Oryza sativa Japonica Group: one gene and its partners. The protein of the gene in region 2 binds, or shares a complex with, the protein of the main gene of each other region. Links are inferred from orthologs where the notes say so. Each region holds a gene or a part of one and is shown on either strand. Other genes may lie near its edges. The genes, in order: large ribosomal subunit protein uL4c; large ribosomal subunit protein uL13c; large ribosomal subunit protein uL15c; large ribosomal subunit protein uL10c; 50S ribosomal protein L24, chloroplastic.

Evidence for each region.
Region 1: large ribosomal subunit protein uL13c (region 2) and large ribosomal subunit protein uL4c share a complex: the UniProt entries of both Arabidopsis thaliana proteins name them as parts of the 50S ribosomal subunit. The link is inferred for Oryza sativa Japonica Group from reciprocal best matches to the Arabidopsis thaliana genes emb1473 and RPL4.
Region 3: large ribosomal subunit protein uL13c (region 2) and large ribosomal subunit protein uL15c share a complex: the UniProt entries of both Arabidopsis thaliana proteins name them as parts of the 50S ribosomal subunit. The link is inferred for Oryza sativa Japonica Group from reciprocal best matches to the Arabidopsis thaliana genes emb1473 and RPL15.
Region 4: large ribosomal subunit protein uL13c (region 2) and large ribosomal subunit protein uL10c share a complex: the UniProt entries of both Arabidopsis thaliana proteins name them as parts of the 50S ribosomal subunit. The link is inferred for Oryza sativa Japonica Group from reciprocal best matches to the Arabidopsis thaliana genes emb1473 and EMB3136.
Region 5: large ribosomal subunit protein uL13c (region 2) and 50S ribosomal protein L24, chloroplastic share a complex: the UniProt entries of both Arabidopsis thaliana proteins name them as parts of the 50S ribosomal subunit. The link is inferred for Oryza sativa Japonica Group from reciprocal best matches to the Arabidopsis thaliana genes emb1473 and RPL24.

The regions. Positions count from the first base shown.
Region 1 is NC_089037.1:8,801,196-8,807,558, reverse strand, and holds large ribosomal subunit protein uL4c, read right to left. Parts: upstream 3,763-6,363; 5' UTR 3,695-3,762; coding exon 2,761-3,694; intron 1,601-2,760; coding exon 1,563-1,600; 3' UTR 1,346-1,562; downstream 1-1,345. Other genes in the region: peroxisomal nicotinamide adenine dinucleotide carrier, read right to left, coding at 4,765-4,967, 5,146-5,200, 5,292-5,360, 5,672-5,779, 5,860-5,928, 6,249-6,359. UniProt on the Arabidopsis thaliana protein: This protein binds directly and specifically to 23S rRNA. May play a role in plastid transcriptional regulation.
Region 2 is NC_089035.1:31,964,654-31,970,876, forward strand, and holds large ribosomal subunit protein uL13c, read left to right. Parts: upstream 1-2,491; 5' UTR 2,492-2,586; coding exon 2,587-2,811; intron 2,812-3,372; coding exon 3,373-3,558; intron 3,559-3,839; coding exon 3,840-4,010; intron 4,011-4,483; coding exon 4,484-4,603; 3' UTR 4,604-4,836; downstream 4,837-6,223. Other genes in the region: probable hexosyltransferase MUCI70, read left to right, coding at 1-231, 369-625; heat stress transcription factor A-4b, read left to right, coding at 6,028-6,223.
Region 3 is NC_089037.1:6,340,718-6,347,006, forward strand, and holds the start of large ribosomal subunit protein uL15c, read left to right. Parts: upstream 1-2,248; 5' UTR 2,249-2,307; coding exon 2,308-2,725; intron 2,726-2,891; coding exon 2,892-3,043; intron 3,044-4,029; coding exon 4,030-4,251; 3' UTR 4,252-4,265; exon of another isoform or gene 4,266-4,367; intron 4,368-5,007; exon of another isoform or gene 5,008-5,227; intron 5,228-6,018; 3' UTR 6,019-6,041; intron 6,042-6,154; 3' UTR 6,155-6,289. Other genes in the region: uncharacterized protein, read left to right, coding at 740-813, 983-1,716.
Region 4 is NC_089037.1:9,831,171-9,836,203, forward strand, and holds large ribosomal subunit protein uL10c, read right to left. Parts: upstream 2,056-5,033; 5' UTR 1,995-2,055; coding exon 1,332-1,994; 3' UTR 1,209-1,331; downstream 1-1,208. Other genes in the region: mitochondrial hydrolase YKR070W, read right to left, coding at 3,681-3,740, 4,378-4,461, 4,784-4,985. UniProt on the Arabidopsis thaliana protein: This protein binds directly to 23S ribosomal RNA.
Region 5 is NC_089040.1:29,338,640-29,345,039, forward strand, and holds 50S ribosomal protein L24, chloroplastic, read right to left. Parts: upstream 2,694-6,400; 5' UTR 2,614-2,693; coding exon 2,491-2,613; intron 1,382-2,490; coding exon 1,343-1,381; intron 1,268-1,342; coding exon 1,040-1,267; intron 927-1,039; coding exon 744-926; 3' UTR 522-743; downstream 1-521. Other genes in the region: beta-glucosidase 25 isoform 1 precursor, read left to right, coding at 5,149-5,265, 5,352-5,418, 5,506-5,564, 6,258-6,333. UniProt on the Arabidopsis thaliana protein: One of two assembly initiator proteins, it binds directly to the 5'-end of the 23S rRNA, where it nucleates assembly of the 50S subunit. Required for optimal plastid performance in terms of photosynthesis and growth.

The DNA of each region.
Region 1 (6,363 bases), on a different chromosome or scaffold from region 2:
CACAACAGCAGCCAGTGGCACAATAGAATTCTGCTGCATATTTGCACAGAACTTAATACGGTGAGTGACATTTAGTGTAGTGGTAAGTTTTCTTTCTAATGATTCCTTCCAAGGAGCATAATGCAGACCTAACATGTAGGGACGGAAACAGTTATAGTCAATCGATCCAATATTCCAAACTAGAACCAATCAATGGCCAGTCTCAAGAAAAAAAAAAGAGAGTGAAATTATGTGCTCAGGTCCATCCCCATAATTTGTATGCCTTTTATGCATAGTGGGCTAGTATAATATGGATAGCTTTTTGCCCACCAAAAAGTTTAAAAGATAGTGCCAAAGAAGCTGGCTCAACCTAAGCAAGACTCTTCCCTTTTCGGTTCATAGATACAGCACTATTATGTCAGTCACAATCTCACAAATGATTTCTTTAGATATTGTTGAAAGCAGAGTAAGACAGAGCAAACTATAAGTAAATTCTACCGATAGCACCAGCTAAAAATGACATAAAATACTAGACATAGCAAAAGACCAGATCTTGCACCTTTCTAAAGTACAGACGCAGCTTTGCCCATAAGCCCATAATCCACTTGTAGTGCAATGTCAGAACAATTAGAAAGGTGATGATCTGGTCCAAAGTTGTCTGGGTGGACTTAAGGATGGCCCAACAACTCTTCTTGCATGACCCAGGTAAGAAAGAAAAATGATGGAATCATTATGGTTAGGCATAAGCAGAGGGTTGGTTCACTAAACCCTCAGGTGATCTACAAGTAAACCTGAGCAAAATGGTCTGTTGTTTACGACTGATCTGGGCTTAGAGTTTCAAGATCAGCATCTAACCCGGGCTATGCTGCTCCAGTGCTCCATGTCCAAGTTGAGCTAGGCTACTTTCCACATTGTAAAATGCAGCAAGTCCTCTGAAAAGACTTGTTAGTTGTTACTTGTTAGAGCTCACCCAGCGAAAAAGTTAGTCATAACAAGGAACAATTCAACAATTTAAGGAGACAAGATTTTGTAATCATACCCCTACTCAAGATGTTACTCTCTCCATTTTATATTATAAGTCGTTTTGACTTTTTTCGGAGTCAAACTTCTGTACGTTTGACTAAGTATATAGAAAAAAAATGGTAACATTTATAATACCAAACTAGTTTTATTAAATGTAACTTTGAATATATTTTTGATAACATGTTTGTTTTGTGTTAAAAATGTTATTATTTTTTCTATCATTTTGGTCAAAATTAAATAAGTTTGACTAGGAAAAAAAAGTCAAAATGATTTATAATATGAAACGGAGGGAGTAGAAAATTAGTGGTAACCAGCAGGTCAACACTGGTTTTTTGAAGCAAGATTGGGAAGCACTTTCTGTATAAAATTGGAAGAAAAATATGCAGTGGTTGACACGACATTGTATTTGAAAATATATGTGCAGTTTGAAGATCTAATATACTGCATCAGTGAAAAAAAAACATTATAAACTTACAACAAAAGTAAGCCAAAAAGCTTCTGCATCAGGGAAGCAATTACCAGACCAACAAACGAAAAACACGCGATCTACACCTCCTTCCCTAGGAATTGCTATCAGCCTCAGTCTCTGCAGCCTCATCTGAAAGTCATACAAAAAGAAGTTCCTGAGAAATGCTCAAAATAAGAGAAAGTTATAATATGCAGCACCAAAATGTAACAGAGAACTGAATGTCAATTAATAATAACTTAGTCCTGTAGCTATGCATAGTATTTACGAAAAGGAAGTGCTTGAGTGATGGAGAAAACATGTGTTTAACTAGGTTTTACCTCTAAAGCAACTTAAACCAGCATATTCACAGCTAACTACTTTATTAAGATGGTTCTAAGGTCTAACAGAACATCTTTGAAGTGAATGATGACAGTGCCAATGGCTGACAATGTTTCAAGTGATAGGTGATAGGGGTAGCTGTGTGGCACAGCAGATTGTGACACTATTATAAGGAGTGTACCAGTATCCCCAGAGTTCTGGTTCAGTGGTGTTCATGGATTCCATGCAGTCTCATTTCTTCTTATTTTTTAGTTTAGTGCTTAGGACTTAATCCACCTTCAGCCGAAAATTTAACCACCATTAGGTGAAGTCATTTTCTATTCGCAAATTGTTGAGTTGCTCATGAGCTCTGAATAAAAACCCTAAGGAGGTGCAAAATAACGAGTAAAATACAGACTCAGTGGGTCTACTGAGAGCTAGCATAGGGGTAGGTGGATCTCTAAGCATGCTTCTAAAATAGACCATTGAATTATGTCATGGACTTATTGGATCTTTCAGGAGGAAAAAAAACCATACGATGTACATTAGCATGGTAAGCATTTTTCCTTTTGCATGCTGGTAAGGATAAGAGAACTATTTCGAAAAAAAAATTAGCTCCATAAGTCTACAAGGCCACAAAGAATTTCTCCATAATAATTAAGATGGTATTCATAAGACAAAACTGGCTACATTTTCTGTTTCTTTGCCACGTTATCTTGTTTTTACCCTTAAAACGCATGTCAGGATCTTTATCAGCATACGTATAGCATCGATCATGATATTTACAACAGAGCATAGCTAAGAGTTAAAAGATAAAAAAAAAAACTACTGTACATGCCATTAAAGCAGAGCATTTTCTCTCCTAACTATCAACTAAAACATGTAAAATAAAGGATCACTGGATAGCATTAGTTACTCAAAGTCATTTCGCACATGCCCACCATAGAAACAATAAAAAGACACCTGGAAATTGTTCATGCATAGCTATGTACCTTGAGCAGCCTCCTCTGCGCTCCCTTCTCCTTCTTGCAACTCCTCTGCTTCCTCCTCACCATCATCCTCGCCATTGGTATCATCCTCATATTCATCAAAAACGGTGGCACCATACCTGGAGTTGAGATAGTTAATGGCGGCCGGGGTGAAGAAGAGCTTGCGGGCATCGAGGATGTCGTATAGGTTGAGAGTCCTGGGGGTTAGCATCTTGAGGGAGCCAATGTTCCTTCCGCTGAGCCGCACATTGTCTGCAAAATCCGTGGCGAAGAACATGGCCTTCTCCTTGGGGTCGAGCCCCCACCGCTGAAGCGCGGCCACGAAGTCCCTGGTCTTGGGACCCGCGGCGAACTCCTCGTCGAACTCCTCCACGACGAATGCATCGTCGGCCACGGCGGCACTGGCGAGCGCGGTGGAGATGGCGAGGCGCTTCTCCTTGCGGTTGATCTTGATGGACCAGTCGCGGGGCTTGGGCCCGAATATGACGCCGCCGCCGGGGCGGAGCGGCGTGCGCATCGACCCGCGCCGCGCCTTCCCCGTCTTCTTCTGCTGGTAGGGCTTCCTGCCGCCTCCCCTGACCTCGCCGCGGGTGAGCGTGGAGGCCGTGCCGCGGCGCTTGTTCTGGCGGTCGGTGATGATGGCGCGGTGCACGACGGCGCGCGCGGTGGAGGGCGGCGCCGACTTGAGGTCGAGGGCGACCTCCCCGACCTTCTCCCCGGTGAAGGAGAGAACCGGGAGGGTGGCCGCCTCGGCGCGAAGGGCGCGGAGGACGGAGATAGCCGCCTTCTGCTTGCCGGCGGCGACGGCGACGCGCGGGGAGGAGGAGGCGGCGGCGGCGGCGGATGGGAGGAAGGAGACCGAGGTGGGGGAGAGGAAGGGCGAGGAGGAAGAGGAGAGCGAGAGGAGGAGAGTCGAGGCCACGGAGGAGGCGGCCATTGCGGCGGCTTCGCTCGCTGCGGTGCGCTGCGTGGGCTGGACGACGGGGAGGCTTTGCCGCTGCAGCTGCGGAGCGGCCGCTTCTCTATCTCCTTATCCACCCCCACCCGACCGGACCGGCCACACTCTCGCGAGTGTCAGCTTAGTCGGTCGCGCCAGACCAGTAAGATACACACACTACTATGTGTTTGGATTTTAGAAGAAGCATCTCTTCATTAAAAAAACTTAGATATTGTTAAAGAAAAACCCTCGAGGCAGTATTAGTCTATTAGATGGTGTTTTTTTTCTAATAAAGATGAAATAAAATAGGAAAGCAAAATGAAAACGGCCCATTAGCTTATGTTTAATTAAGTTTTGATTATTTTAAACTTGAAATTGATTTATTTGATATTTTAAAATATTTTTATGTAAAAAATTCATATGAAACATACCATTTAGCAGTTTAAAAAATGTGTTAGGAAGAATTTGCATCTTAGTAAAGAAGGAGGCTTAGTTTCACCAAAATGAGTTTGAAATAATCAAATTAAATTTCATTTCCTTTTTGTCGGGTCAGATTGCTCATTAGCACTTGTGTATCAGAACAGTTGCCTGAGAACCACATTGACAGATGGGGCGCACCATAGACACAGTTATGCTAAAAATGGACAGGAACTCCAAATTTTCTACTTCTACTTTTGTTCTGAACACTTGCGAAGTTTTCACGATTGCGATCCTCTTCTCGGTTAGCTCTAACAAACAAGCTAAAGAAACTCAAGTAATCTGAACAGATGACTAGCGCTTGCGATTCTCATTGCCAACTTATTTTCTAGTGTTTCAATCTTCCATAACAGTATACTTTACACGAGCAACAGAGATAGCCTACCCAATATATACCATCATTATTGGTTCCTACAAGAATCACAGTGGTAATTGTACTACATCTTTAATCTCCTTTTTTTGGAGAGCCTACAGTCGATCAGAGTCTCACAGATAACTTGATATCTCCTAACAGGGGCGCTTGGCAACTCTGTCCATCGCTTTATGGAAACAATTGTGGTATAAGTAGGGAACTAACTCTTGTACAACCTAGATCATCTTAATGGCTTCGATGGTAACTTCTTAACAAGGCTGGTGTTGCCGGTTACCAATAATCGAGCGCCCTTCACCAGTTCCTCCTTAATCATAAAAAGGAGAGCAGAAGCAAAAACACTTTGTACGATTTTTGTGCTCATTCCTTTATAAAGCCCTGACAAACCTTCATAACGTATCATCTTTGTGATCGCATCAAATGTGCCTGCAAGCAATAAAATTTGCATAGCGTATTTGGTAACAAAGTCAGAGAACAGCAAATATTATTACCAGAAGAGAAGTAAAGACTATCAGAAACAGGATATGGAGCAACATCACTCATTAAATAATAATTCACTCTAAATAATAAAATGAAGTTTAAAGAATAAAGGCCAGCGATGTACCTTTGTAGCGGTGCCTCTTGTCATCATCAATTATTTGCTTCACCTGAAGTCTTGCCTGTAGAAAAAAAAAACATGGTTTAACTTGACATGTCTGCTCAATTGTGCACAGAAACGGCTGCTGCTGTAACTGGTGTTCAAATAATCACCTTCACAACTAGAAGAGGATATGTAACAACAGTCGCACCCAGTTTGGCAACAGCACCAAGAAGGAAAATCTGAACAAGGATTTTACAGCGTGAGATGAAGACGGTCTATAACATAGCTAACTAACAAAGAAATAGTAGTATTAGGAGCATATAAGAAATACTAGTGTTTTCAGCAAATCATCATGGTAAATGAAGTTAAGACATGCAACATATAATTACTGGACATGAAACATCGTTACTAGAAGAACAAACTTTCAAGTCAGCGTTACGGGTAGATTCAGGCCCCAATGCAGCAAGTTAGCATGATGCAAATTGGTTATATCCTAATAAATCTGTACAATGATCCCAGTCACCAGAAAAGCCAAAAGCCAAAAGCTTACTTCAAGAGCAGTCAGTCCATCAGCTCCCTTCAAATTAGAGGCACGTCTCTTTTTCAACTTCTTCAAAAGAGTCTCGTACAACATGAATTGGATTGCAGGGTTGCTAACCTGATGACAGATGAAACATGGAAACAATAACTTGTAAAAAAGAAATAACTTAGCAAAAGAAAATGCGACATAAGACTTACCATAATAAGAGCTGGAACTACACCTTTCCAGAAGCCCAAAAATCCAGCTTCTTTGTAAAGGTCCTGAATCTGCAGCCAAACGGAGTCAATCAACCATGCCCCAAACAAAGTCTGAATCATTAGCACTTGCATATTGACTATATGAAGTACTTAGGAGGACAAGTTTTACTTGGTTTTCAGAGATGAAGGATGGGTTTTATCCGCAGTTTAGGGACAAAAAAAAAAAGCTGAGCTAACAGTTTAGGAACTGGGATGAGGCCTAGGAAAAACTAAATGAGGCCTTTTTTCCATATAAGAACAGCTGTTAGTCTTGGATCCAGTAATCAGCAGCATGTAATTGCAAGAATAGAGTATCTCATCCTGAAAGAGAAATGATCAAAGTTACATACAACATGGATAGTCTTGTGAGGTATGTTTTCAACAGCGGGAGCTTGTAGGGCCTTGTCAAGAACACACGTCAAATCCAGAGGACTCTGCTGTTTGTTTGCCTTCCGGTGAGTCTGC
Region 2 (6,223 bases):
TGGACTCCAAATACCAATTCCGAAGGGATCCAATAGGTGTGCTTGAAGCACTTCTTTGGAGAACAAATTCTACCTTTGCTATTTCTGAACATGGAGCACGGAGTAACATCTATGATGAGGGTAAAGCTATTGTTCAAAAGCACAAGGCTACTCCAGAAGAAGTAGAAGTTCAATTAACTCAGTATCGTAAAGATGGGATGCCAGATGAAAAAAGATTACATGGGTTAAAAGGTTAGTGCTTGATTGTAAAGAATGGAATGAAGTGTTGCCTACTTTGCATATTGCATATACGGAACCAGTTCTGTAATTTCCATAGCTAATGTGTTAAGCATGGTTGATATGATCAATATATCTGTTATATTTTTCAGCTTTATCTGAAGCTTCAGTCATTGTGAGGGAGCTGGCCCCAGTGACGAACCACTTCATGTGTGCCTGGTTCAATGAAGTTGTTCGCTTCACATCTCGAGACCAACTCAGTTTTCCGTACGTCTTGTGGCGCCTAAACATGCCAGGAATCAACATGTTTACTGTATGCACTCGGAGGGATCTTGTGAACAGTTTGGGTCACACAAGAAAAGTAAAACCTCTTCTTACTCAGACCAATTCAGAGTCATCTGCCATGTGAAGCCTTTTTCTGGTTTATCTGCTGACAATCAACTAACCGTTGATTTATATTGTTCTGATCTGCCACACCCTTCGGTCCACAGTTTTGTTGTAAATTATTCATTCATTATTCCTCAAAAATCGTCACGGTCTCTATGTACAAGGACTTGCACCATTCACCAGATAGATACACGTTAAGAGGCAAACTATCCTACCTTGATGGTACCTGTAAAGTTCTCTTTCATTTGGTGCAAAGGAACAATATTGACCCTTTATATTTGCTATATACGAATGTGTAACATATGAATTTGTGATGCACCCGGTGCTGCAATCTTATCAATGAAAATGATATCATCTTCTGTCCTTTGCACCGTAGGAAAACATGGACACCAATTCTCCAATGATCTTACCTTTTCAGTTATCTTTATTTGTCGCCAGAAACATAGCCTAATTTTGGGTATATGATCCTATATCACCTGTAGTGCTGACTTGCTTGTGTGTGTGGACAATTTAACATGGGGCAATTACTCATTTGACCCTATTTTGATGTCTAACTATCAATTTGACCTTACTTTTCTAGGTTTGCTCATTTGACCATGCTTTTTAAAATTGAAGATCAGAGATGACCCTATTTTGTGAAGGGTAGATAACGGTGTTAACTAAGAGGGAAATTGTCCGTTTTGCCCCTGCTCATTTACCATATTATATCAAAGTTTTTTCTTCATCGGGACTTTTTAAATATTTGCAATGATTTTCATGGCTTTTACAGATCTGAGACAGATTTGTCTTCAATTTAACAGAATTTTACACAAATTTGACAGCATATTGTCCAACAGCAAAGCATATTGTCCAACAGCAAATCAGATCCAAATCCAACAATAAATTCGTATCCAAATCCATCAACAAATCCAACCACAAGTTATCCTCCGTCTCTCGTTCCACACGACGCACGACGGCAGCCGGCGGCGCCGCCCCTCCGCGCGGCAACAGCCGGCGCTGCTGCCCCTCCTCCACCCTCCGTGCGGCAGCAGCCCCGCCGCCGCTCAATCTCTCCGCTTCGAGCACGGCAGCCGCCGCCGCCGCCGCTCCCTCCTCCTGCGCGCCGACGCCGCTACTCCTTCCCTCCTCGCGCGGCCGCCGCCGCCGCTCGCCGCTCCCTCTCCTTCCTCGCGCGGCCGCCACTCCCTCTCCCTCCTCGCGCGGCCAACGCCGCCGCCGCTCCCTCTCCTTCCTCGCGCGGCCGCCACTCCCTCTCCCTCTACGCGCGGCCAACGCCGCCACCGCCGCCGCTCCCTCTCCCTCCTCGCGCGGCCGCCGCTACCGCTCCCTCTACGCGCGGCCAACGCCGCCGCCGCCGCCGCCGCTCCCTCTCCCTCCTCGCGCGGCCGCCGCCACCGCTCCCTCGATGCGCCGCCAACGCCGCCGCCGCCTCTCCCTCCAGCCCGGTCGGCGGCAGCTCTCCCCGTCACCGGCGAGGTGGGGATTGGGACGAAGAGCTGGGGAATGGAATGGGAATCCTAGGGTTAATTTGTAACACGGGGGTATTTTGGTCACTTTAGGGTAGTATTTTTTTTTTCTTTTTTCTAAGTGATGTTCTACCGGTGAAAGCAAAACAGGTCAAATGGAAACTTCAATTTCAAATAACAGGGTCAAATAAACAAACCTAAAAAAATAAGATCAATTTAGTAGTTGGCCTTTAAAATAGGGTTAAATAAGCAATTATCCCATTTAACATATCGGAATTTCTACGCGTTTCTCTAGCTTTGATGCATCTGTGGGCTGCAAAGCCCAGCTAAGCAAAAGGCCCATCTCTTCCTCTTCCCCTTCTGGCTCCCTCTCCCCCCCTATCCCCTTCTTATCCGCTCTGCTCTCTCCACCTCGCCTCCCCGAAACGAAATGGCAGTGGCGTTCCACTGAACCAGGCCAAGCCAGACGGACAAGACTTCGCCGCAGCCGCGTCCTCCTCACCGCGCCGCCGTCGCAATGGCTACGGCCATCGCAGCCTCCGCGTTCCTCTCCTCCGCCTTCGCCAGGGACAGGCCGCTCCCCCGCCAGCGGCGCGCGGCGAGGCCCGCGACCCGCCGCGCCGCCGCGGGGGGCCTGTCGGTGCGGTGCGAGCAGAGCGAGAAGCAGAAGAGGCAGCCGCTCTCCGCGCTCGTCCCCCGCGAGCAGCGATTCATGTTCGAAGGCGACGAGCTCTGCGGCCCCGTACTAACCCTCACCTCTCTTTCTCTCTCCCGTATACATTCTTCTCTTTCTCAGTTCAGAAAATGAATAGTAATGCTACATTCCTTGGATAAAGGGAAATTTTACCGTGATTTAGGATTGCCGCTTATTTAGGAAAGCTCAAGATTAGTCCCATTCATTTCTAAATCCGTAAGTCACTTCATCTTGCTCTATTGGGTCAAATCCTTTCTTTACATGAATAATGTTAGGGAAAATACACAATGTTTTTACATGTTACTATACCGTATAGACCACCATCTTATTTTATTTAAAGTTATCTAGTTGTAATTTATTACGAAAGAGGATTCCATAAAATGAACTGAAAATAACATGGAGGGAACGTTGGTCTTTCTGAATTGGTCGCTAACATTGTGTTGTATTACTCAACAGTGTTCGCACCTACATGACTACCATATCTTTTTATCTGTGGATGTTTAGGTTTGTGAAGTTAGAATTCAGTACGGATACCATTCTTGTGTTCTTTCTCTCTTTTCTGTGCAACCTGTTCTGTGTAGTGATCGGACCAAGGAATTTAATTTGCAGGACATATGGAACACAACATGGTACCCTAAGGCTGCAGATCATGTAACTACTGAGAAGACATGGTATGTTGTTGATGCAACAGACAAGATTCTAGGTAGGCTTGCATCCACCATTGCAGTACACATCAGAGGAAAGAATGAGGCCACATACACTCCAAGTGTGGACATGGGGGCTTTTGTTGTTGTGGTATGTATGTTTCTTGAAATTAATTTATAAAGTTAAATAGTGCACACAATAAGATCCTCTGTAGTCCCACAAAAGGAAAAGAGGTTTAGCAGCACATACAAATAAGCACCAAAAGGTATCTGGAAGCTGAGGTCCACCTGAAGGCATTTTGAAGCTGATTTCATGTATATATATTTATGTTACTGTGTGCTTTTAATACTAATGCATCTCTGAAGAGTAATTGCTACGCATATACTATTGTAAGTTCCTGAACTACCATGCTGAACTCTATGTTCACATAGGTTAATGCAGAGAAGGTTGCTGTTTCTGGCAAAAAGCGGTCACAGAAGCTCTACAGGAGGCACTCTGGACGGCCTGGTGGAATGAAAGAAGAAACTTTTGATCAGCTTCAGAAAAGGATTCCGGAGAGAATTATTGAACATGCAGTGCGTGGCATGCTTCCTAAGGGCAGAGTAAGACATCATCTCTTAGAGCTCTTATCTAGTCAGTTTCATCAAGTCTTTTTGACCTTAAGTCAGCCTACCTGGGTATACATATGCTCTTATCCTTATTTTTGGTCAATTTCTAATACATATCTGAAAATGGGTATCCTCGTTCTGTTCCATTATACTTCATTATTGTGTATAATTCCCCAACTTTATATACCCTGTTCATGGAAATATTCGCTCTAATTGAATGCCGAAACGGCGTGGGCTAACGAAGTACTAGATGTATTCTCCCAAAACTCCTATGTTGCCTGTAAGACATCTTATGATTGCCTAAAGCCTTTTACTTATGCCTAAGTTCATTTATAAAAAAAAAAAACGTTTACTATGTCAACCTCTCAAGTTCTCATATGTTAGTGACACTGACACATGTAATCCGACCAACTACAGCGGTTGTACGTGCTCTATGTAGCCTTCTCAACATTTTGAACATTTTGCAGCTGGGAAGAAGACTGTTTACCCACCTCAAGGTGTACAAGGGAGCAGAACATCCCCATGAGGCTCAAAAACCTGTTCCACTGCCTATCAAGGATAAAAGAATACAGAAGTCTGAGAAGTAGATAATTCCTGTGGAGACTAAGAAAGACACAACAATCTCACGTAAATTCCTCCCCTCGAGATTTTGTCCAATCTTTGGAATGTGATGCATCTGTCTGTTTGGGGAATGGAGTGTAAAATTTTTTGTAATTTACTTCCTCCAAAAGTTTGTGTTTCTAAGTCATAGTTCTTGTTGATTACATATCATGTACCTAATACCGTACGATTTTAAGCAATCCGATATTTCCATATCCAATTGAGTAGTGCAATTTTGACCTGAGATGAGCTTGATGTGTCATTGTTTGGGGGCAAAAGTGTTCTCTTTTTTCAATGGGCATCAGGTGTTTCTAAATTCTCTTAATAGTTGATGTAGATCTGTTAATTAATTGCACGTCCGTGTTTATCTTCCATATAACGAAAAAGTTGACAGTACCAATCGTGTGCTCAAGTAACACCTATTGTACCATGTACTCATTCTGTAAAAAAAAAGCCAATTTAGATGAAGATCTGATACCACCTAAAAATAATGATTAGGAGGTTATCCAGATTTATATTAGGTGGTATCAAATTTTCATCTACGGGGTTGTTTAGATCCAGAGGTGTAAAGTTTCGACGTATCACATCGGATATTATATAGAGTGTCGCATAGGGTGTTCGGTTACTAATAAAAAAAACTAATTACAGAATCCGTCAGTAAATCGTGAGATAAATTTATTAAGTCTAATTAATCCATCAATAACAAATGTTTACTGTAGCACAATATTGCTAAATTATGGAGCAATTAGGCTTAAAAGATCCATCTCGTAAATTAGTCGCAATATGTAAAATTAGTTATTTTAGCCTATATTTAATACTTCATGTAGGTGTTCAAACGTTTGATGTTACAGAATAAAAAATTTTAAGGTGGAATCTAAACAGGTAGTTTTTTCAAGGAAGAAAGTAATTGCGAGAACATAGATTGAAGTTCAATTGAACAGAGGCGGCATGGCAGTGAGATGAGTAGATCCCGGAGTGGCCGGGTCGTCGCCTATAAAATTCAGCGAGATTCATTCGAGAGCGCGTCACTGCTTACCTAACCCCACCCAATCACCCCAACCGAACCCCGCACGGCGCACCGGACGCCGTCGCGTCCGGTCGCTCGTCCTCCGCGACCCCACCTGAACAACTGAAGAACTCATCATCCGTCATCCCTCCCCCTCCCGCCAGTTACCCTCCAGTACCATCCTCCGCCCGCCTCGTCTTAAAACGCCTTCTGGAAAATTCCGCCAATCCGAGAGGGATTTTTCCTCGCAACCAACCAAACCAACCAAACCCCCAACCAAGCGAGCAAGCCGCCTTCGCCGGGGGGGCCCCCACCCTGACGGCAACCCTAGCCCTCCGATCACCGGCGCTGAGACTGATCCCGCCGCCGTAGGAGGAGGAGGAGGAGGTGGTGGTGGTGGTGGTGATGGAGGGGGGCGGCGGGGGCGGGTCGCTGCCGCCGTTCCTGAGCAAGACGTACGAGATGGTGGACGACCCGTCGACGGACGCGGTGGTGGGGTGGACGCCCGCCGGCACCAGCTTCGTCGTCGCCAACCAGCCCGAGTTCTGCCGGGATCTGCTCCCCAAGTACTTCAAGCACAACAACTTCTCCAGCTTCGTGC
Region 3 (6,289 bases), on a different chromosome or scaffold from region 2:
TCTAAAGGTGTGTTCGGAATCCCCAGTTCCCAACTCATCCATCTCGTTTTCCGTGCGCACGCTTTTCAAACTGTAAACAGTGCGTTTTTTACAAAAAGTTTCTATACGAAAGTTGCTTTAAAAAATCATATTGATCCATTTTTTAAAAAAAGATTAGCTAATACTTAATTAATCATGCGCTAATGAACCGCTCCGTTTTCCGTGCGGAGGGGATAGGTTCCCATCCTCCATTACTGAACACAGCCTAAGAGTGCACATAAATATTCATAGAAATATAAGCTAGATGTACATTTTAAAGCTAACTGTGTAATTTCCAAAATGTGTAATTTATTACTCTCTGCCTTGTTAGTGTATCCTTGCAATGTGGGAGGTAGGATGTAAACCTCAGTTTGTGATGAACAAATAAATCAACTATTATTATTGTTAAATTTGACAAAGAGAGATGTTAAACTAAGAAGGTAATGATGGGTGTCTGCTTCAATATCTAACATTTTCTTTGTGTTGTCCTGTCACTTTGGCAATTGCATAATCTAAAAAGTGGTAAATGATCTGACATAAATTTTTCTTTATTGGAGGTGAAATCGACATGTCCAGCAGCCAAACAAGATTAGTAATACCTGAACAACTATCATGCTCTTTCTCCTCCTTGGGGTCCTGGGATGCAACTTACTCTAAATTTAGTGTCATTGAGTTCATGGATGGAGTCATGATTTGGCTTTCTGTATTAATATATATATAGGCACAAGAAGCGGTGCACTGGTAGCTATCACAGAGTTCAAGGATCATCATCAGGTTGTGTAGAGGGTTCAAAAGGTAACATTTGGCTTAAAAAGGAGGTTCCAGTTATGATAACATTTTAAGACCATAAAACAGTCTATTTTGTTGAAATGCCTTGAGATGACTCTTTACTGCAGATATACATTTTAAACTCTTAGTATGCCTACTCATACAAATTGATGATACTGCTAATTTTTGTTGGTAGCTTTATCTGTAGAAGCACCTGATTGCAAAGTTGAAGAATCAGCCCCTGGAAGTTGGCACAATGCGCATGCATCAATTAAGGGTGGAAAAGGCAATAAGCATGAACTGGAAGAAACCTCTGCTGGGTTTCCTCCTGATGACTCTATTGGTATTTCTGGAATGGAGTCCTCTTCAAGAGACACAGCTAATAAGAAAATCAAATTGTCAAAGGATATTGGTTTGGACCGTCTAACCGCCACAACTGTTCAGGAAGCACCGAAGCGTCCAAGAACAACCTCACTAAAGAAGAATCAAGAGTGCAGCAGACAGAAGAAAAGAAAAATAAGCAAGTGGGATGGTTCCTACTCTGTAATCATTGAATGGTTGAATTACTATTCTGTGGATGAGTCAGATGAAGATGAGGTGCCTTTGATAAATAAAAGAACCGAAAGAAGAAAGCGGCAGAAGTTACTGAAACTTGTTCTTGCTAGGGAATCCAATAGTGGCAGTGAAGGTGCTAGTTCTACATCTTTTGTAGAAAATGGCAGAAATTCTAGCAGTGCTGGCTCTTACCCCCTAAGCCAGGGGGACAATGACAAATCTGAAAATGTGCAAGCTAATCGAGTTGATGTAAGTTCATTGCCAGATCATCCTGTAAGTAGTCATGTAGCAGCAGAGGATCAAGCTGGCCAAGCTGCATCGTCACCATTGAACTCACCAACTAGAGGTATCGTTGTTGACATTTCAGATGGTTGATGGCCAGAGTTCCATTAGTTTCTTTCAGCTGAGGCCTGGACGTACAATTATCCAGACTACAGTTGTAACACTTACTTTTAATTCCTTGCACCTGTCTACTGCTAGACATGCAACGGGACGATCCTGTGAAGCATGTGTCTTGTACATGTCTTCGTTTCTTCCTTTCTCATTTCACCTTTTCTTTTCTTAGCATAGATCAGTTCAGTATACTTAACTCTGTCAGGTTGTGTGACCCATCAGTTTCTCTCCGTACTAGTCTCTTGAAGAACAGCAAAGATCAGGTTTTCTCTTTGGTTGATTGTGTGTGGAAGATCAATCCAAATATGTTCATTTCTTAAGAAGATAAATTCAGTTCTATTCTATTCATAAACTTTTGTAAACCTTCTAAAATCCTTTAATAAACAAGAAGCAAAGTGAGTAATACGAAACCATTCACAAAATAGAGGGAAAAGAGGCCCAAATTCCCAAGGGTTAATTGGATTCATGGCCCATTTATCCAACCGTCTTATCTCCCTCGTGTCCTTCCCCAATTATCCCCTTCTATCCACCCACACCAGCAAGCCGCTCAGGCGCGCTCTCCGCTCCACCGCCATGGCGTCCATCACCCTCCTCTCCCTCGCTCCCGCGGCCACATTGCTCCACCTCCCGGCCTCCACTTCGCTCTCCACCTCCTTCGTCGCCGCTCCAGGCCCCATCTCCGGCCGCCGGTCCGTCGTCCTCCGCGCCCGCCCGCGCCGCTGCGTCACGGTCGTGTGCAGCGCCGCGGCGGCCGAGGCCGCGGAGGCGGAGCCCGCGGAGAAGTTCCGGCTCGACAACCTGGGCCCGCAGAAGGGGTCGCGGCGGCGGCCGAAGCGGAAGGGGCGCGGTATCGCGGCGGGGCAGGGCGCGAGCTGCGGGTTCGGCATGCGTGGACAGAAGTCGCGCTCGGGGCCAGGCGTCCGGCGCGGGTTCGAGGGAGGGCAGATGCCGCTCTACCGCCGCATCCCCAAGCTGCGCGGCATTGCTGGAGGTGAGTCTCTTCGAGCTTCCCGCTTCCCCTCCTCGCCCTCAATCGAAGCCTCACACATTCAAATGCACTGGAAATTGAGTGGGAACACGCTAGCACCTTCCATTTGGAATGCAGAAATGCTGGGATTGAGAAGTGACCCGTTGCAAGTTCTACCTTGCGATTGCAGGAATGCATATTGGCTTGCCGAAGTATGTGCCGTTCAATTTGAGAGACTTGGCGCGTGGCGGGTTCAAGGATGGTGACGAGATATCATTGGAATCCTTGAAATCGAGGGGTTTGATTAATCCGTCTGGCAGGGAGAGAAAGCTTCCTCTGAAGGTACACTATACGACGATTATCCTTCTTTTTTTTAAGTCGGTTCTGTAGATGACCATGTTTTACTGAAAACTGAAATATGAATGCCTTGCATTTGATCTTTGCCAGTGAATTCATCAAGTTCACCAGCAGTCTTGGGTAATCCTTTAGTTGTTGATGTTGTGGATTGAATGGCTGGCCTTTTTTTTTCTTGTAGTTCTCAAATGTTGCTGTGTTGGTCTGTCCTTAGCAGCAATTACCAAGTTGAGTATTCGAAGTCTCAAAGTTGTGTGTCGGGATCAATTTTCTTAGCTCGTGTTGGACAAACACGGTATGATTTGACGAGTGTTTCTATTGGCTACTCAAGGATCTAGAACGTATGAGTTATGATGAACCCACACATGGTGTAGGCCTGCATATGAGCATATCTGTCAGGCATAAACATGAAGTGGTATCAAGATCCCAACAAAACCATGTGCTCTTACATGTACCACTGCATGTCTGCATCACTCCCAACATACCCAAAATATTTACTGTTTGTCTCCACTCTTAGTTGGCGGATTGCTGGAGTAGATGCATTAGTGTGCTACTGGGTTGCCCCTTATAGTGGGTAGTGGTGTGGCGCTTGATCACTGATGTGACAAAGACTTCTCCAAGGGTGGAACTTAATGCACCTTGAATAGCATAATTGTTCAACTTTTATTGTTCTTTCTGGTCCTATTTCATTTGATTGATTTTTTCTATACTCTAGGCTCCTAGCTATGTGGTACATATAAGGTAAAACCCACAGGGCTAAAACAGGTATCAAGACCTAAGTCATAATGTGGGGAGCTATCAACTTTATCCTTATGATAGGCTTTTTCCTTCTTGACATCTGATTCTGATGTTCAGCAGATGGCGTTCCTTTCATCTTTGTTTGAGTACAATGATACTGCAATGTTGCTGTTGTTATTGTATCTTTTATCATGCGGGTAGTATTAGTATGCTAACTTTTGAAAACCTATCTGTAGATTTTAGGAGATGGTGATGTATCAGTCAAGTTGAATATCAAGGCTGGGGCATTCTCTGCTTCAGCCAAGGAGAAGCTCGAGGCAGCTGGTTGTACTTTAAGTCTGGTACCAAAGCGGAAGAAATGGCTACCACAATCTTATCTGAAGAACCAAGCTCGTGCAGAAGAATACTTTAGCAAGAAAAATGGTGGTGCTGGTGAATCTGATGAAGCATCTGCATAGAATTCATATACACTGTACTTCTCCTTTACCCTTTTCTTTAACATATACTTATTTCTCTTACCTTGTTCCAAAAGTTCCACGTTCAACGAATTTTGAATCCGTGCGATATGCAAGCATTTTTTTTTGTGTGTTTCCTGTTTAAATGGAGAAAATTCCTTCTATACCCCTGAAAGTTTAGCCAATCCCTTCTACGCCTCCGAGTTTTGTCCACTCCTTTGTATGCCCCTGAATTTTGGTTTTGATCCCTTTCATACCCATACCGTTAGTTGAATGTTTAATTCTAATGAAAAGGACCTTTTTGCCCTTAGACATGAAGGAAATCTAAAAATTGTAGACTAGCTATATTGTTGGAAGTGTATAATTTTGTTATATAAGACTATCATATTCATGACTTTATTGTACAAGGTATTATTCATGGCAAAGTTTATTTTTACCTAATGACATAAAAACTAATATTTATTTACCTACTAAAAGAGTATATGTAGCATTTGTTTATGGTAGTTCAACATATTTTCTCCTGTTGTATATATTATATAGGAATGCTTTCCAAAACTATGTTTATCATTTAAAAAAATGCTACATGTACTTTTTAAATATATATTAAATTTTTTATGTACATAAAACTTATGAATATGATAATCACACAACAAATTTTATACTTCCAACAATATAGTTTACAAATTTCTACATATTCCTCACATATTGAAGGGTAAAACTGACTTTTATATACCTATTAAACGGTCAATTAACGGCAAGGGTATGGAAGAGATCCAAATCAAAATTCAGAGGTATACAAGGGAGTGAAGGAAATTCATGGGCATAGAAGGGATCGGCTAAAATTTCAGGGGTATGGAAGGAATTTTCTCTCTTTTAAATGTGATGTATGTCAAATGTCAGTATGCATACCCCCCAACACACACCCTCACCCTCTTGTGATCTTGCACTTATACTTCAAGTTGCCTATAGTATTGTTGTCCATGTTGTGTTATAGTTTGGTGACAGTCTTTCTAAACAAAAACAATGATGGTTCATCTAGGAGCTAAACTCTGTTTCGCTTATTTGATCCTGCCTTTTTCAAAAGAAGGTAGTTATCATTTCAGTGTCTTAATTGATGCCCATATGTGATAATGTGAACTTGTGGGCTTCTTAATTGTCCATGTATACATTTCGTGATTTCCTGGGAAAGTGGACAGCTGGACACACATGGGGGCATGCACACTTAATTGCTGCACTGTTCATCTAGTGACAAGAATGGGCAAATGTTATATAGGGTTGCAAGTCATTCTATGTGTGCTTAACAATTGATTTTGAACACAAATTTCAACAGAACTCATCCATGAATATTGCTTGTTTGAAGAAGTTATATAAGGACACTGCTATATCTACTGTCACATAAATTACAAGTAGTTTCTTGTTTGACTTAATACAATAAGGACAGCACATCCCTCCTCAAAGGCTCAAACTGACTACAGTTATATCATCATTTTGAACTTCATGTTCATGTTCTCTCATTTTTTATTCAGGGATTTAAATCGCCACTTACTGCTGCTTGTTTCTTTAGGAGTTAGTTCAAAGGGTGACATAACTCACCTTTTACTGCAGCTTGAAATTCTTTTTCCTCTCTCTTTGATTCATTCTTGCACCCTCTTGCTCCCTGTGGACGTTGATGCTTCTTTTGTTTGATTTGCTTCTTGTTTCAATCGTTTACATAATCTCAATTATACCTCATACTTGTTATTTTCCTGTTGTTTTTCGACATTTCTTTAGGAAAAGAAGTCTTGACTATTTAGGTAAATTCTATTCCATCTTTGACTGTGAAGGTGTTAATTTGTTGAGATGTTTCCCATTTGATCAAAAACAATTATTTATGGCCTTTTGATGATAAAATTTATTTGTATTTTAGATTAACACGCAAATCATCGCCCTCATTCGGGCCCTAGGTCCACGCAGCATCGGGAGAATGACTGGCAAATAAGGGTTTGGGTAAATTTCCAGTGGCATAGAAGAAAATTTACCCTTCATTTCAGTGTGCAGTGCA
Region 4 (5,033 bases), on a different chromosome or scaffold from region 2:
AGATGTCAAAAGAATTGCACCATTTTTTTAGACCTCAAGCAAATGCACATTTGCACCATGGAAATCCCCTCCAGTTATATAATGAGGCTGTAGCAGTGTATTTACTTTTACACATCAATCAGGACTAAATTTACTGTACAAGAAGGTTTGTTATTATACATCATGGAATAACTATGATTTCAAATTGTGTCTAAGCATGCCATTGCAAACAAATTTCAAATTAATGTAAAAGCTTAAAGACAAACAAGATCATGTTGCTGAGTTCCATTGAAGAATTCAGAGATTGAGGAAAGCACTTATCCAGATGATACTTTATTTCACAACCGCTTGGTGGCAGTGCACGTATTCCACTTTAGCTTGCAATAGATCCTAAGCAGCCAAATCACAATATGTTGCTAGAGACATATGTATCTTTTATGTATCTTTTATAACCAAACAACACGATCTTCAGGAATGGACCAAAGAAATGGTTTCCCATACCAAAGCAATTTCACATCCGTAAGACTGCAACTTGGTCCTAACAAGCTTTCCTCTATATTCTCAAGAGCCTCTCACATCCTTATCCATTGGGCGAATGATATTGGCATATTGACATGCCTGGTAGTCACTCCTGCAAAACTACAACTATCACTCAAGTACAATAACCTAGGACAATACCATGACTGTCAGAAGAAATCAGTATCAAACAAATAAGTGACCATGTGATCATCAATTTTGCCAATTCTATTCTTGATCCACTGCGCGTTCAGACAGAAATGATACAAATTAGGTATGTGGTGAGCTGGTGACCAACAGTAAGTTTCAGAAGCTAATTCAGAAGAATTTCCAACTCTAATTAGTGTTATTCTGTTACTAAAAGATGAATTAATCATTTAATTTTGTTCACTTCAAGGAGGTTTGCTCTTAACAAAAAGAGCACAGTTAAGTTCATGATTTTAAAACATCTCATCATACTGCTTTGAACAACTTTGTTGTAAACCTGGATACACTGATTGATGGTACAACTACACAAGCACTAGTAGTTATTGACCATTCTAATTGTGCATTGCCATTGCCCCTCAACCTACTAAACTTTGATCTCTGTAGTCTCTACAGGTAAAATTAAATTATCAAAACACTAGTTGTGGAACAAGCATTCCCTCTAAGTACGCAACGTAATCCTAATAACATCAGAACTCGGTAATCTTATGAAATCAGACCAGTAGGCATGCGTTGTAAGAGGTAAAACTTTTGTGATTCAATTCAAACGTGAGGCAGTAAAAGTACAGGAATTCTACAAGAAATGAGTGAGATGAGAGAAACGAAGCCACAAAACCATCTCTCAACAGCCATCAGGCGGCGCCGACCTCCTGCTCGAGCTTGCGCACGTACGCCGAGAGCACGGAGACGACGTCCCTGGCCGGCGCCTGCAGCGTGGTGACGACGGAGGTCGCGGGCCCCTGCAGCGAGCCGAGCAGCTTGGCGTACACCTCGGCGCGGCTGGGCATTGTCTCGAGCGCCTTGAAGTCCCCGGGGGCGTAGAACTTGCCCTCGAACACCGCGCCGACGAAGTCGTTGGTCTCCTCGAGGCGCTCCTCCTTCTGGAAGGCGCGGTAGGGCTTGAGCGCGGCGGGGACCTCCTCGGTGTGGACGAACAGCCACGCGTTCATCCCCTTCATGCACGGCTTGAGCGCCTCCCACGGCGTGCCCTCGATGGCCTTCCCCACCAGCGTGTTCTTCGCCACCAGCAGCCGGCAGGTCTCCGGGAGGGTGTCGCGGATGCCCTGCAGCTGCTTCACCGTGAGGCCCTCGTAGCGGATCCCGGCGAGGAGGTAGCAGCCCTCCAGCTGCTCGCGGACGGCGGCCACCGTGTCCTCCTTGCGGCCTCGGGTGATGGCCGCGCTGATGGTGGAGCGGCGGAGCGGGCGGGGGCGGGGGCGGGGTGCGAGGGTCTGGAACGCCGGGAGGGGCTTCGCGGTGGGGAGGGTGGTGCGGAGGAAGGAGGAGGTCTCCATCTTCGGAGGCCGGGAGCTATGGCGGGTTGGGAGAAAGAGTGGAGTGGGAGAGCTTATCTGTGGGGAAGATGAGGCGGGGGGCTCACTGGATTATGTGGGACCGTATCGTCAGTGCCTGAGAAGATGGTGAACTCAGCTCGGTCAGCTGCACAGAAAGAAGCTTCCGTGGAGATTGACCTTTGCTTGAGGATTTATAGCCGTTCGATCTTGATCCATGAGCGGTTGAAAATAAGATTAAGAGTTCCAAATAAAAAAAAATAGAGGCATAGAGCAAACGCGTATGTGTGGTATTCATAGACGTCAATTTAAACCATAGTGAGTGAAGTCGTGTACCAACAACTCCAATCTTCACTGCCTTGTTCAACACAGCATACATCACTATTGTTTTCTTGAGTTCAAAAACTCTTGATATGTACAATAAAACATAACATACATCAGTGTACTGAATTATTCAACACAATAGATATCACTATATAAGAAAATGACAGCGATTAGGCGCCCGATCAGCGGTAGAAAAATCGGGCGCTCGCCGCCTCCCGCACGCTCCCACCCCTTATGCGTTGTCCCCCCCCCCACGTGCCCCACCACACGCGTCGTTATAACAAATCACCCGCACATTAAGGAAATACTTTATTAAAGGAATCCGTTTCATTTTTTTTTCCACCAACAATGTTTTAGCAAGTGTACTCGTGATGTTTCACTATGTATGATCAAATGTTGCAATGATTTGAAACATCCTTTGCTATTTGCTGAAATATTGTTTTTATATAGGATGAAACAATGCCTGATTTTTTTTTGGAAACTGTTGTTTCATATGTTGTAACAAAATATTTCACGATGTGATTTGGTTGTGTTTCAGCTTTTTTAAAAATATTGAAACATTTTCGATCTATTTAGTGAAACAATGCCTGATTTTTGTAAAAAATCGAGCGCCCGATTTGTAGATGCATCACTATATATATATATATATATATATATATATATATATATATATATATATATATATATATATATATATATATATATATATATATATATATATATATAATTCAAACTTTTTTTTACAGGTAAGAAAACCATGCGAATCTCTTGTACGACGATCAAAATGGATATAAACATTGCAAGGATGTCAGGTGGAAAGGATATAAACTGCGACGATCAAGCAACAGCAGCTGCTCTGATGCTGTAAACACGGAGTTGTTCCGGACTCAGCATGCTCAACGCAATTTCACAGAAAACCAAACATCCGATGCTTACCATTCTCTCCATAACTCGTGTGCACTTCAAGCCATCCCTAACATGAAATGATGGTTTTGATAATGGAAGTGTATAGTTCATATAATAATGTCATTGGTAGTACTGAAATCCAAGAAATAAGATGCAGGGAAACAAGAACGTCTGGTACAGGGTGAAATTCACTTTTAGCTCTGCTGCAGCTCTGCTGCCCTGAAACCCTGACGATTCTACATATATAATGTCCGGCCTATCTCTCAGCCAGGAAAAAAAAAATACTATAGCGCATCAGCATATTTTCTGATGTCCCAACTTAAACAAGTGGAATGAATCAGAGATGGAACTCCGGCTAACAATTGCTCCAGAATTGCTAGACAAAACAATGGTGTGGCACAAAATGCATGCCAAATAACAATGAAGGGAGCATGGATACTCAGAACAAGTGTCACTCTGTCACTGTATACATTCCTTTTCCAAAATACAGTTAATGGCATCCTCAACAGTATCAACAACCTGCATGACATAGCAAGTGTAAATAAAACAGCATGCAGACTAATAAACATAATGGCATGAGGCCACAACAATGGATTGTCAATGTTTCTGATTAATAAAACTGCAAGCAGTTTAAAACTGCATCGGCAGACAGCAGAAGAAGCTTTTGGTAGATGACAGCCAATCGGTAACAAGGATGTGCCGGGACTACAGTTCAAGACCCACAAAACACCCACAAAAGCGCATGTATTAGATTAACAAAACAATTATTTCTTTGCAAGCATGAGAACAATGTATGGATTGGTACGAACATCATGTTTAATGAAGAAAAAAATTGTGATTTGATAGGGCTAGCAAGATAATAATCAAGCATCAGTGCATCACTCGAACAAAAAAGATATACGATACCCAACCCCCTTGAGAACTAAAGTAACCACTCCTAATCTCCTATAGATTGTGCCAAAGTAGGTAAAAGTAAGGTAAAACTGCAAAAGAATTGAGTTCCAGAGTAAGATGAGCAAATTCCTATGGTTTTTCAGATCTAATCTGATACTATAATCACTTTATACATCCATGTTCTTGACAGACGTGTTGTCATGTATCAGATGGCTTGACAGTTAACATTTATACGGTAAATCACTAATAAGACATAACATACCAAATCAGCAGGATACTGTGGATCATTATCCTTTCCCCTAAATACGCCAGTCCTTGTAAGAACAGGTGACCAAGGGGGTCCAGCCTGCAAAATGTCACTCAATGTCAGAAACTTTTCCAGGAGGAAAGAAGCTACAGTTTCATCGCTTACGATTGTTTAAGTTGTTAGAACTTAGAACTACACAAAAGCAAAGGACCAAAGTGGATGGCAGTTATTTAACAAGGTATATTACATGATATATTAATTTGTCGGATTCATGCTAATCATTCAATTTCATAAATATATACACGTATTAGAAAAAATCATTGAAGGCCATGCCCAAAACTACACAATTGCATCACCCATCAACTGTTGTATGCAGCGATTTTCTTAGAAAGAAAAACAATCGGTTCTATCATAGGCTAACCTTCAAAGCTCCATTTATATCAACTTTAGGATTATCCCCAACCATGTAGATAGTAGAGAACCGATGTTCTTCTACTTCTTTTGTTGGCAGTGAACTTGGATGCATGCAAATAGCAAGTTTTTCAAGTATGTTTGCCGCATTCTTGAACACAAATGGGTTAGGCTTCCCATATGATATGTACTTCAGCCGATGATCATTAACTCTGGAAATTTAAGTTGGCAGAACATGAATAAATATTCAACATATATAT
Region 5 (6,400 bases), on a different chromosome or scaffold from region 2:
TTTCGTGACCTTGATGGGTTGCATCTTCGTCTCATGGGATCTGGACAGGTGTCAGGTTTCCCTCGCGGAGCAAAACGCAAGCAGAAAACTGTGGTTTGCTTACGATCACCTGGATTTGATATTTGCGTGCCATATCTGCTATGTTGATTCTCAGCCGTCAGCACGAGCTCTTGAGCTTTCATGTTATCAATGGCAAATCAGATTTGTTTTTTCCTTTTTCTGACTATAATCTTTTAGCACTATATATTTGTATTTTTTTTCCTACTATATCAATAGAAACATCGCTATCTTTTAGCACTATATATTTGTATTTTTTTCCTACTATATCAATAGAAACATCGCTGCGGGTTGTTTCAAAAAAAAAATTGCTAAGCTTGTTTCTTTTATGATACTCCTATCTTACTACTCCTTAAAAAAAAGAACTTATCAATCATTCATGGGTTTTATATGTACATCTCATCTATATTTCTATATGGAAATGGACCAAATTAGTCAATGGTTGCGAATAATAGCTCAGGACAGGGGACAGCAACAACATTACAAAATCATTTGTATGAGCGAATGTAGCTGAACCATTCTAGTAGCTGGTTAACAAGCCAAGCATGTCATTGGATACAAAAAAATGTTGGCAACTGTATAGAAATTTACAAGACTCTGAAATCTGAATCTAGAAAAGCATCAACTCATTTGGGCATACAAAAAGTGCAGTTCAGAAAATGTGCAGGACTCCCATGCTACCATGATCACTCCGAACTTCCTTCCTTGAACACCTTGACCCAATTCTCAGCACTGTCAATTATTTCACCAGTCTTGACCAGGTACCGAACCTTCGTTCCATCCTCAAGGAATTTGTGTCCAACCCTACTCGCCACATTCTTTTCCTTTGAGTAGAGCATCACATTTGAGCTGTGAATGGGGCCTTCAATCTGATCAAAGAAAACACCAACAACCATAGGTTAACGATCAGGCATCTGAAACTATATATACGACACTAGCTAGAAGCAGCACAGAAAGAAGTTTCAAGAGAAACAATGCTGACCATGACGATTTCACCCGGTTCATCTTCTGTTCCTTTCTTGTGCTTGGACTTCAAGTTCAAGTCCTTCACTATTACAGTGCTGTTGTGCTTAAAAAGCCGCGTAACTTCTCCAACTTTACCTTTCTCACGGCCTGCAATGACTTGTACTGTATCGCCAATCCTAACATGCATCTTGTGCAGGACAGGAAGACTGTTTGGTTTACACTTCTTCCTCTCCCATCGCTTAAGCTGCATTGGAAAAAGGGAAATTTCAGACATTTGAGTAAATAGCAAGCTGCAGACCAAAAAAGAATTGAAACTTACCCTCATTTGAATTGGGCATGTCTTGATCATAAATTTAACCTGCATATAAAAATTTATGCATATCTTGTCAGAGTTTCTTATGAAAATGACATAAAATGTAATAATCAGCTGCTTTTGAGATATGACATGAATCATGCTCACGATGTTTCTTAGGCAAGAATATCTAGGATAATCATATGATCTTTTAGTACGAGTTTCTTCATATAAGTGCAGATTTTAGTACAGTTCATCATATAAGTGCCATATATAGCTCAGTCACTCCATTCAAGAGCAATTATTCGGCCTTATTTTCTCTCATCACCACTTTCCAGGTAAGTAATTAGTCGTGAGTGAGTCTCATTCTGAGGACGAAGTGCAGTAGACTATCTAGAAGAGCTAAGGAACGCCAAAAAGAATATACAAAAGATAGAACAAGTTCAGTCTGATAAGTATACCGAGTGTGCCAATCATTTGCTACAGGCTATCCCCGAGTGAAATGAGTTTCCATCATTTTCCCATGGAAGTCTTCTGTGAAATTTCTACTGTTGAGTAATTTAAAGTTCAAAGGCAAAATTGTTTCTAGCCAGCGAAATGTGATCTATACAGCAGGTTAGAACAAGAAATGGTCTGTCTCACTAGAGGGCACATCTTTCAGAAAAATAATCCTCTGCTTGAAAGGCTGAATATTGGGTATCCATCGCTTATACCACCATAGGAAAAAAATAATATTCAAGTTTAAACTGAAACATAACAGGCCACATCCCATGGTAGACAACACAATTTCTAACTTCTGAATTCACTCAGTTGATATACTCAAACTTGAGATTTCAAGCATTCATTAATTCATATAAACCCTCCTTATACTAGCCAACTAGGTTCAACTATACCACAAAATCCTTGAGACCTTTTCTCTAAAAAAAATATACCACAAAATTTTGACACAACGTTGGTTGTTGGCTAGTTGAGGTCCTGAGCCTGAACTCCTGAAGGCAACAACAGTACAGTGAGGCGATGTAGACATCACCATTGCAATGCCACGCTGTTGGTGAGCTCTAAAATCCTAAATCTCAGTGCAAGCTGGCATTTCTACTTTTCCAGCGAATCATAAGAGCAGAGCAAACATAAAGGAATGCGAAAAATGAGAATCAGGGTTGGGAGTCGGCACAAACCCCAGCCGGCGCGGCGGCGAAGGTGGAGAGCGGGTGGCCCCAGAAGCTGCTGGTGCTCGCCGCCCCCGGCGCAGAGATGGAGAGGGACGCCATCGCGCCCTGCAACGCCGCCACCCCGGCCATCTTCGTCTCCTCCCCTCCTCTTCCTCCCTCGCTCGCTCAAACCGCAGAGAAGCAGCAGAGGATAACGAACGCCTTCGTGTGCTCGCGGACAGGATAATGGCGAGCGCTTTTCTACATGACAAATGGGCCTCTAGGCCGAATGGATTGGCCCACTTGTAAGACTCATAAAGGCCTAATGAAAGGCCTATCGTAATCCAGCCCAACTACAACGGACCTTACGGCCCAAGTCAGCCGCGATCCCGTTCAGGCTCAAATATAGCGGGCCTCACGTAAGCCGCAATCCCGTCTCGACCCAACAAGAACAGGTCGCACCTACACAGATAAAATCTATTGTACATTTCTCATCTCTGCTCCTGATTGAATTACCTCCCTCAACCGCAAAATGGAGGAAAATCGGTCTTATTGTTTGGTTATGCTTATATTTATGAGCCAAAATTTGAATTTGAGAACTTAGTTTTGAATTTGCTTTTTTGTTTTTTTAAAATGCTTATATTTTACAACATTTGCTTTAAGTTATTATGGACATATATAAACATTTTACTCATAAATAAATTTTTATTTGCTAATAAACGATTCGAATAAGCGAAAACCGTAGCAGATCAACCCTTAGATGGTTTGTAGGGTGGTTCCTGTTGACGTGGCAGGCTGACTCGCAGAGAACATGAGGGAGGCAAAATAGACTTACTATCACGCACGTCAGCAATCCGGTTAAGGCCCAAATGTCGTGGGCCGCTCGTCGTCCGCAATCCCGTTTGTGGTCAAGTAACGTGGGCCGAACGTCCTGGGTTGATATGGGCCGACACCCGTTTTCGGATAAGGCCCAGCCCAGCATACGCTCGTCGTCTTCCTCGTTGCGTTGCGTGGCTTCGTCTCCACACGCATCATCACCACGCCACGCGCCGCGAGATGCTGCTTCGGCGGGGGCGCCCAGGCGTGGCGCCTCCCGGATTCCGGCGGCTTCGACGTCGCCGGCGACGCGCGCAAGCCAAGCGACAGTTGCGGAGGCAAGCAACCCCCCAAGTTCCGTCCCTTTTGCGCTTTTCTGGGACCCATTTCCTCTCTCTTTTGGGGGGCGCTTTCGCGGTGACGACGCTGCCGATGCGCGTACGCCTGAGGAGTTCTTCCCCATCACGCCGCGTGGGGGATCGGGACGTCGCCATTTCCGCTGCCGTTTTCTTCTCTTTGGGGGGTTGCAATCTCGCGTTTCATTTGATAGGGTTGGGCGTGGGCGGTGGGGAATGGGGATGGGTAGGTAGATGGCACCGATGTGAATCGGACGACTTCGAATCGAAGCCTTCCGATCCATGTGAGGAGGTTGAGGAACCAACCTAATTTCGAATCGAAGAACTCTTGGTTTCTCTACCTAAAACCAAATAGCATAGTGACAGTGGTCGTTATACTATGAATTCCAAGCTTTTTGACCGAAGATTTCGAATCATCGAGCATCTTTGGCCAAGCTATTCTAACACGGTTGACTCAGAAGTCTACGTTTCTATGCATTGTGTATTTGAGTGTTAGTTACTATATTTCGTGATAAACAAAACTGTTGACTCAAAAGTCTACGTTTATATGCATTGTGTATTTGTGTGTTACTGTATTTAGTGATAAACCTTAGGTGTACATGTGAGGGATTTCATGGATAACACGTGCACTACATTCTTGCCTGTTCCACTGGTCACCATCAGCAAATCGCTCCTGTCCCTTTCGTGTGGCTATCACTGGAGCTATTCAATTCTTGAAAGGCTCTGCCGTGCAAGCAAACCGTTTTCTTTCCAATGGGATAAGTGTGTGACTGTGCTATAATCTCAGGATAAATTCATCACTAAATCGTTGCTATCAGTTTTGGTTTATCCACTCATTAAATCAATGCAACAAATGTGGTGATCAATAATTAGTAGTACTTGTTTGTTGGTATGCCGTGCTGCCAAACTAGTTGGATAACAAAGATTCCTATTATATTGGGGTTAACCACTGTATTTTCCTAATCATAATTTTTTAGGCTCCTTATTGTCATTATCACTTAGCATCATTGCATAAGAGAAAAAAAAGGGGGGTCAATACTGCAGGATGGTATTTTAGGAAGGAAATGTGTTATCGTGATATTAACACAGCCTTTCTTCCATGTTGCTTGCACTCCTCTCAAACTGGTGTAGCTTCCTAAAGACTGGCTCAGTTACACAATTTTTATTCTTAAATGCTGGAATCCTGGGAAATCCTTAATGCGCCTGGAATTGTTGCACTCAAGTAAAGCTTTAGTTTGCTACACCCGTGACACTTTCAGAGTTGGACATGTCAAAGTTTCCTTCCCTTTTTGATAAAATGTCCAGTGTGATAGAGATATTGCAACCTGTCACCTCCACAAGAGCTACTTAGCAGAGACGCGCGTTGGATTCCAAGACAAGTGATGATCAGCCTTCAGTTGCTTCCCACACCCCACCAACTCAACAAGGTTTATATATATCTTACAATCCTGTCTGCTACTTATCTATAGACTGTGGACATTAGTAGTTAGTGCTACCTACTGAAGGGAAGGCCATGAGTCTCTTAACACTTGTTCATATCCTTGTCAGCTTTTCTGCCTGTGTTGAAGCTATAAGCAGAGCAGACTTCCCTCCCGGTTTTATCTTTGGCACAGCTTCTTCAGCTTACCAGGTCTAGTGTTACCAAAAGATCTCTAATTTCACTTGAGTTCTTTTAGATGGATGTCTGATGGATATTTCTGGTCAATATATTACCAGTATGAAGGTGCCGTGAATGAGGGCCAACGTGGACCTACCATATGGGATACTCTCACGAAAAGACCAGGTTCAGTAATGGGGATTTATTTGTAGAAGTACTCTAATCTGAGGTGCAAACTATGACTGCAATATGAGCAATGTAATCTTTCTTCAGGTCGGGTGATTGATTTCAGCAATGCAGATGTTGCTGTTGATCACTACCATCGCTACAAGGTGAGTTATCCATAATTCATGAATTCCTGTACCTCCTTTATGTTATTTACTTCATTTGTTCCTGATATGTAATCTGGGACATGAAGTTTACCTTTTGGCTAATTATGTTGGGATTAAAAATGTGAACTTTGCCTTGACCAATTACGTTGTTCTTTTAAATTTGAATTATAGTTTTACGGATGATCTGATGGAACCTGAATTGATTATTTTTCAAAGAAATCTGAACTGGTCATTTAACCAGGAATGTGCAAATCCAGGCATCCTGGAAGTTAGGTCAAATGTTTGCCAACCTTTGCTTCAACAATTTCTAGTAATTTATGAAAACTAATTGCTTGCGCACTTTTGTATCTCCAAGCATCAATGTCTGACGTATTATATTGTTAGGAAATTATCCCAGTGCAAGTTTTGTCTGGGCCATTTACAGTTTAAATGTGTAGAGACTGTAGGCATGCTAAACTGCTAATTTACGAATTACTAGTATACTAATTGTGCAAATCCACTTCTCTAGCATGCTGCTTCCAAAACTAAGATAACAGGAAGACCATTTCTGATGTTTTTCCAAATACAAGATGCCATTTTGGAGCATCAAGAAGGCTTTCTGGATAGAGCATGTCTTATTTGTTCAGTCGATTCTATTTCTTTGATTGAGCTTGTAATGAAATAAGGACATCAACTAAATGGATAAACTGGCAGGAAGATGTGGAGTTAATGAATGACATCGGCATGGATGCATACCGCTTCTCTATCTCATGGTCACGGATCTTTCCAAGTATGAATTATGTAAATTATGTGCAAAATCTATCTTTTTTTTTTTGTTATTGTTCACTAATACCACC